Linked DNA regions of Rhinolophus ferrumequinum. The main gene of each other region encodes a partner of the protein of the gene in region 2 in a complex. Links are inferred from orthologs where the notes say so. Each region holds a gene or a part of one and is shown on either strand. Other genes may lie near its edges.

Region 1 (3,747 bases), on a different chromosome or scaffold from region 2:
AACAAAATAAAACCATTTTCTTGTCCTTGTGTTGAGCTGGAATAAACCATGTAACTTAAAAAAAAAGAAAAAACGACCAGGTATACACTTATCTACAAATTATCTAAAATTCCAAAGAGTTTGGGAGTATCCCTCTTCAAATACCATCAAGATTAAGATATCTCTTCAAGAACTAATGTATACAGGCTTCCCTCAAAAAATAAAAATTAAAATTAAAAACCTCAACTGCAAGATTTTCACAGAACATCCATTTTGCTGCTGTATGAGTCCTAACCACAGCTATTTGTGCAACATGGCCACCAAACCTCCTCCCACCCCCCAAAAAACAAAAAAACCTCAGTGTAAACTAGGGTTTCCGGGCAGGGATTCCCGTCCCGTTCTCGTGATCTTTTTTCGCTTTCCCATTCCCGAATCCTGAGAAAAGTTGGTCGGGAAATCGGGGAGATGGGCTCCTTGAACCCAGTAATACCCACAATGGGAAATAAATGTATTACTCGCAATGTATCTTAGACATTTTTCCTATTTATCGCTAGGGTTTCCGGGCGGGAATTCCCGCCTGTTCTCGGGAACTTTTTTTCTTTTTGCTTTTCTGTTCCAATCCCAAGAAAAATTGGTCAGGAAATCGGGAAAATCGGCTCCTTGAACCCAGGTGGTTGGTAGTATCGGCCGTCACTTTGTGGAAACAGTTCATCGTGAGAACAGAAAACAGTTTATATCTCGGGATTCGGGAAAGAAAAGCGACAAAAACTCCTGAGAACGGGCGAAATCCTAGTGTAAACACAAAACTATTAAAAACACATATCCAATTTAATTAGGAAACTAATTTTAGGCAGGAAAGTTACTTTATACAATTTGCTTCAATTGGCAATGGCTTTTAAAGTAATCAAAGTTTCATTTAGGTTTTCCTATCAGTCCCTATTTTAGAGGTTCGGCACTAACATTAAATTTACCTCTCAGATCAGGAGAGTCAATACAAAGCTACTACCATCCAACATTTGTCATAGTCAAATTCTCATAACCTGGAGACCCTTGGAAAACTAGCAAAAGTGCCATGTGTTCAACTCAGAATAAAGCAGAGACTCACAGTAAGAAAACCAGGGTAACAATGGACACAAACAAAGTTTTATTATTTGAATTTTGTTCATGGGAGTTAGTCTGAAATCTACCAATTTCAAGCTTCAGAAGAAGCATGAAATAGGGCATCTCCTTTTAAAGACTGTTATCTCAGTAAAAAATGAATGCTACATTATATATATTATACATGCAGTGATTGTCATGTAGTATAATACTTTGAAATTAGTCTACATAAAAATGGTTATTTTTAGTGAACCTCAGATTAGGCCACGATGAAGAAGCCTTAGAGGAATTAGGCTGCTTGATGCCCACCAAAGGCTAAGAGAAGTTACGAATATATTCAACGATAAATTGGCTGAAGCCCAAAACAATAGGTTCCAAAGGCCTCACCTACGACGTTGTAATTGTGAAGTTGAGAGGTTACTTCCTGAGCAGCTAATCTAAAATTTTACACTAGATATTTTATCTCAATCAAGGCAGGTCTCCCATGAAAAACACTTATAATGTGCAGAGGATCGCAATGCTAAGTTTTCTCAGTCATTTTTTTCCCGTACCTCCAAGTATTCAATCAAACGTAAACTGGAAAAAAAAAATCACTTCCTTCTCACTAACCCCCACACTTCTCAACAAAACCCTATTTTACAAAAGGAGGCCCAGGGAGTATCAGGTTAACGCCAGTTAAGGGAAGGCATTTTTCCAGACTTTGGAGGCTATAGATAGGGCTTTATACACCAGGCCACGGAGCTGAGTTCCAGAAGGCACTGGCAGCCGGTGTTGCCAGCTCGAGTCCCAGGTTTCTAAGCCAGTTCTCAAGGTCCTTTCAGGCGGGCGGGTGAGAGTCGGGTTTCGGAGGATGGGTTAACCACCTCCGGATCTCGCGCTGCAGACCCCACCCTCACTGCAGAACGAACGGGGGGGGGGGCTTTTCGCCCCAACCCTGTCCCTCCGAGGAGACCGCAGGACCATCGAACAAAGCTGATTGGTGCAGCAAGCAGGGAAAAAAGCTTCCCCAAGAGCTCGCTTTTGGGAGACAAGGAGGGGGCGCCGCCGGGTGCAGGGGTGGGGGTGGGGGGGTGAGGTTTGAACGCTGGGGCGAGACGTCGGGCAGCTGGCCCGAGCAGGCAGCGGGGAATCCTAGGACAGCCCACAGCCATCTTTTTACTTTTGGGGAGGAGGGGGTATCGAAATGTCTTACGTCAGAGGAGTGAGCAAGCAAAGATGTGGAAGTGCGAACGGGGGGAGTAGAACTGGCCTCCGTCGGTCCCGCGGGGCCCACAGTCGGCCCTCTTAGGACCGTGAGAGGAAGGTATCCCGATCCCCACCCTGCAGGCCCGTAGGTCTGGGGAGGAGCCATCATCCTGGCGAACGTGAAGGGCCTTACCGCTTGAAATCCCGCATAAGCCTCCTCCGGGCCGGGGTCGACATGCTCCCCAGCTGCCCCGCGGTCAGTCTGAGAGAAAAGAGTCCCGCGCAGCCCCCCCACCCCCCGGCGCGGCGGCCGAATCACTGCGGGTCACCGCCGCCGCCGAGGCTGCACAAACAACCCTGCAATGACGTCTCCCTCCGCCACCTCCAGATCCCTCCGCCCTCCGCCACTACCACAGAATGAGGGGTGGAGGAGAAGGAGATAGGCCGTATGAGAGCTCGAACGTAGCCTTTCAGCAGGACCCTATCCATTGTGGCTGCCTGACCTAATCGAAAAATTAGTCTTCGCTGTGTTCAGGCTGGAAATTGTGAATTAAGAGACACCGAAACCGAAACACCACCCTGTCTCTCCCCCTTTCACTAATTTAGGCCCGACCGGGTGGGGAGAGAGGGACTCAAGCGAGGTCGGAGATTTCAGGAAAGGAGGAGGGATGACGTAAAACCACGTGACTGCTGGCGGAGTTGTCAACAATCCACCCCTGAGGGGGAGGGGGCGAAGTATCTAGAACCACGTGTCCCTGTGACGCGATTAGAACGGATCCCTTGAGAGTGTCTCCTGGATCTGAGTCTCAGCCAGGTCAGTGAAGCAGGTAAATTGACTGAGCTGAGGGCGGGCATATACTTTTATTAGTTTTCCATCTGTTTCGTCCTATGAACAGGGAGGGCAATCGAAGAGGTCCTGATGGAAGCAAAGCTTGTTTTGCTTAAGTCTTTAAAACTGAGCCGAAAATAATTTGGATTTAAAATCCCCTCTGGCTGGTTCAATGGCTTATCAAATCTGGTACATGAAGAAGAAAGTGATGGGGGCTTTCATTTTTTCTAATAAATGCAGGATTAAATGCTGAGGCCCGTACGAAGTAAAATCCCCTAAAATACTTCCTTAGGGCCATGCAATAGCGTGTATGTATGTACATTGCAGTGGGGTTTCCAGGGTTGGAAAGTCTGGGCAAAGATAAAAGAACGGTGTAGATTGTCCAAGGTTTATTCACACTCCCTGTGGAATTAAGAATCTTGTTTTTCCTTTATAGGTCTGCCCTCATATGAGGATGTGTCCAAGTCCATGGATTTGGCTAGGATGGGGTACCATTGTATTTGTCAATAAATGTGGGGATGAGGTCTCCAGAGAGCATATCAATGGAAGGTTGGTTGTTAAAGAAACCTAAAACTATGATTCAGATCTTGGGGGGGGGGGTAAATATACCCTGTTTCCCCAAAAATAAGACCTAGCCAGACAGTGAGCTCTAATGC
Region 2 (3,747 bases):
TCTTCTGGGGGAGGAGTGGTTCTGACAGATCTGCTGAGCAAGACGCGCGAAAGGTGGCGCGGAAGGTGTCACCGCATCAGATGAGCTATAACACTCTCGCACAAATTTCCCATCATGCCATTCCAAGACAGTAGCATACACGTCACATGCATCTAACCCCAAATAGAGAGTGGTCAAGTGGATGCCGCAAGATTTCTTTAACTTAGAGAAAGTGGAACGGGGAAGTAGGGAATGGGTAAAAAGCCAATAATTAGAGCAAAGGTTCTTAAGCTTTTGGGTCACAGATCCCTTTGAAAAATGGATGAAAACTATGGACTCTCTCCTTAGAAAAGCATACATATAAACAAAAATTTTATAAATAATCTAGATACCAAAGTCTTTTCATGGATCCTGTTAGGAACCATGGATTTGGAGTCAGATTTCTATTCAATATAAGAAAGAACTTCCAACAGAGCTACTTCTGGGAGCAGCTAATTCTTTGTCCTTGGCACACTTCAAGCAAAAGCTAGATGACAAACTGGCAAATACAATGTAAAAGGGATTAAAAGACTGGAGGGGGGCTGGTTTCCCAACCTTAGTATTTCATGATTCTAATACGGGCTCAATCAACTCCATCACTGAATACTCTCTGGTGCTGAACCCTCAATTCGGTGCTGTGATGAGGTATCAAAGCCAAAGACAAGGAACCTGCCTCCAGAGAACGCAGTGGAAGTTGTGGGAATATATAAAATCTGCTTAAGTCTACAGACAGGTAGCTTTACAAGTTACACAGCTCTCACTTCCTTTATCCCATTCAATCCTCACAACAAATAAAAAGGGGGTTTAAACAGTTAACACACGCTAAGTGTTAATAAGATATGTTAATTGAATGCTTACTACCTTCCAGATACCTTTAATCAATTAGGAAATAATTTTTGAGCACCCACTATGTGCCACACACTGTGTTACGCAGTGAGTAAGACAGACAGGATCCCTAGCCACACACATCAATTCATTTAACCAACCCTATAAACTGTTTATTTTTGTCTCCAGTTTATAGTTGAGGAAATTCATGCTCAGAGATTAAGTAACTGACTCAAGATCACAGCTAAGGAAGAGGCAGAGACCAGATTTAACCCAGGATCATCAGAACTCAAATCTATGCTCACCTCGGTGCCAGGGCCACCACAACCTCAAAACCACATCTTTCTTAGATCCTCCCAATGTCAGCTTTTCACCGTGGGGCTGTATCTCAAGGGCCCCAAAACAGTAGATAACACTGATGATGACGGAAGAATAAAGTCTCAAACTTAGTTAACCTCCCCCAAGTCTCTTCACTTAATCCTCAGAGACAGCCTTATAAATCAGTGGGACACATGCCATAATCCCCAAGTGTACGAAACTTTAGAACAGGATGAGAACTTGAAATGAAAGTGATCACAGAGCAAGGAGAAACACCAAGCAATTGACTCTTAACTAGCACAGCAAAGTGTATTTGTTCTTGACCAAATACAGCAGGAATCCTGGGCTCACCACTACTGTAAATGGAAACTAAAATGCCTTGCCGCCACAAAATGCCAAGCAGCCACAAAAATCAATGTTATATAAGAGAAATAATTCAATGAAATGAAAGGCTGGTGCTGCGCCTGAGTCCTGGTCCCTTTGTTTAAAAGAGAGACGTGCACAACTGTTAGGAGTTAGGACTCATTGGGAAGGAGTTAGGGCAAACCAGCACTAGGCTTCTTGAGGGTAATTAGAGGGTGTAATTAGAGGGTGTAATTAGAGGGTAACAATAGGATGTGAAGATTACCTGCTTCACTAGGTGATTAAATAAATGTTTTTTGATGCAAGGTTCACCCAAAATCAGGTCGGGGGTCACTTTCAGAAATTCTCAACTAATGTACTGAAAGAGTTGGCATAATGCTTGGCATGTAGTAGTAAGTCCTCAGAAAGGGCTGTCACTGTCGTTTTCACTGTTTAAAGTAACTGCTTTTCTCGAGGTCATTGTTGTTGTGACTTAACTGCAGGATACCCGGTTCCATAAGACAGCCAACTTCAGCTCACCCTAAGGGACCGAGGCCTGTCCCCGTCCCTTCTCGGGGAGGAAACTAAGGCCCTGAGCCATGCGGCTGGTAAGTGGCAGAGCAGAACCGGGTTACCCAGGCCCAGCTCGCCTCTCCCGCCTCTTCCTTTCTCATCCTCAAGGCGGGACTGGCCTCCCGATGACACCCGGGCGCCCCCAACCTCCCCGAAGCACTCACCTTCATGACTGCCAGACCTGGAGGCCACCGAGGCTCGACTAGTGAGTCCATGGTCTCCCCTAAGGAGGATGGGGGGTCCACCACCCACTAGCCTCCCGCACTCCAGTCCCACTCGAAATTCCCCGCGCTACCACGCTACGACAGCAGCCCGCGACGCGCCCGAAACCTGCGCGGAGTCTGCCGGGAGTTGTAGTACGAGGGAGGAGCGCAGCCAACGATGCTCTAGTACTGCGCACGCGCCGGACTTCTGCTTTGCCTTCCACGGCAGGAAGTAAATGGTTAAAAAGTCCACATCAGGTTTTGTACCAGACCCCTAATAAATGGATGTTGAATGTTGGGGAAAGACAGCCAGGACACAAACCAAATCCAGATCTTGCCAGATCTTTCAAGGTCTAGGCTAATGCCTCCTTCTTTGTGTTGCCCTCCCTGATTGCTGTAATTATCTGTCTCTGAACCCCTGACTTTGAAAAGGGTTTTTGTATCTAGTATTATTTCATCTAACCCCATCACAGTACCGGGAGGTAGGAAGTACCATTGTCAGTTTACACAAAAGGAAGCTTTGGCTCAAAAAAGTGAGTTGTTTCCTTGAGTCGCACAGTTCATTGACCAGATTATAGAGCCTCTGGACTTTTTAAACGGGAGCGCTTTCATTTATCAAATTAAAATTATAAAGTTAGTCTTTTCTTTATTGCCTTAACTTTGTGTAGCCTTCCAAATATTTTCTATGCAGATACATAGAAATGGATTTTTTCCCCTGCAAGTGTTATATTCAATGTATAGCTCTGTCAACTTGAATTTTTCTGTTTTTTTTTTACTTAACCATACATCTTGAGACCTTTCCATGTTACTACATATAGCTTTACCTCATTCGTTTTAACAGCCATGTAGCCCATAATGTAAAGGTACCACAATTTATTTATCTACTCTCGTATGAAGGAAACCTTTAGGTTGTTTCCAATTTTTTACTCTTGCAAAGAGCGGCAATAAACATACTATTTATATAAATCTTGGCACACTTGAGCCAGGATATCTGGTGATTTCTTGTAAATAGAACTACTAGGTCGATTTGCTCATTTAAAACTGTTATTGCTAGCATTATGTGAGTTTCTAAACAGGCTGTATCAATACAGGTACACGTTCACCAAGCAGGTATAAGAGTACCTGTGCTGACCAGCATGCCACCCAGCCTATCTACTCAGCTCAGCACTCATCCACTGCCTTAGGTGGGACTCCATTGCAGCAGGCCTCATGGGCAGCAAGTCTTCACAGTTATATTGCTTGGTGCAGACCCCTGCAGCTTGCCACTGCTGCCCCACATGGTCCATGCATTCATTCATTCAACAAATAGTTTTCTAAGTGACCACTGGTCAAGCACTCGAGCTAACCTGTAAAGTAGGCAGAGGTAAGGTTATTATTGCCATTTTACAGACGAAGACACTGAGGCTCAGAGAAGTTAAGGCTTCACTCTTTTGGGCCCTCTTCCTAAGGAACCTCTGGCCCCTGAGCC

Evidence for each region. The genes of interacting proteins can lie anywhere in the genome.
Region 1: the proteins of RAD18 (region 2) and UBE2B are in contact, whole or in part, in a crystal structure (PDB 2YBF), measured with the Homo sapiens proteins. The link is inferred for Rhinolophus ferrumequinum from reciprocal best matches to the Homo sapiens genes RAD18 and UBE2B. Residues at the interface, in NP_064550.3 of Homo sapiens: Tyr342, Arg343, Lys344, Lys345, His346, Lys347, Glu349, Phe350, Leu353, Val354, Gln356, Ala357, Arg358, Lys359, Gly360, Tyr361; in NP_003328.1 of Homo sapiens: Pro20, Val22, Gly23, Val24, Ser25, Gly26, Ala27, Ser29, Glu30, Gln35, Asn37, Ala38, Val39, Phe41, Gly42, Pro43, Glu44, Glu49, Asp50, Lys54, Leu55, Val56, Leu73, Ser74, Asp151, Ser152.

What each region holds. Positions count from the first base shown.
Region 1 is NC_046307.1:10,302,096-10,305,842, reverse strand, and holds the start of UBE2B (ubiquitin-conjugating enzyme E2 B), read right to left. Parts: upstream 2,626-3,747; 5' UTR 2,500-2,625; coding exon 2,456-2,499; intron 1-2,455. UniProt on the Homo sapiens protein: E2 ubiquitin-conjugating enzyme that accepts ubiquitin from the ubiquitin-activating enzyme E1 and transfers it to a E3 ubiquitin-protein ligase. In vitro catalyzes 'Lys-11'-, as well as 'Lys-48'- and 'Lys-63'-linked polyubiquitination.
Region 2 is NC_046300.1:44,748,438-44,752,184, reverse strand, and holds the start of RAD18 (E3 ubiquitin-protein ligase RAD18), read right to left. Parts: upstream 2,374-3,747; 5' UTR 2,292-2,373; coding exon 2,241-2,291; intron 1-2,240. UniProt on the Homo sapiens protein: E3 ubiquitin-protein ligase involved in postreplication repair of UV-damaged DNA. Postreplication repair functions in gap-filling of a daughter strand on replication of damaged DNA.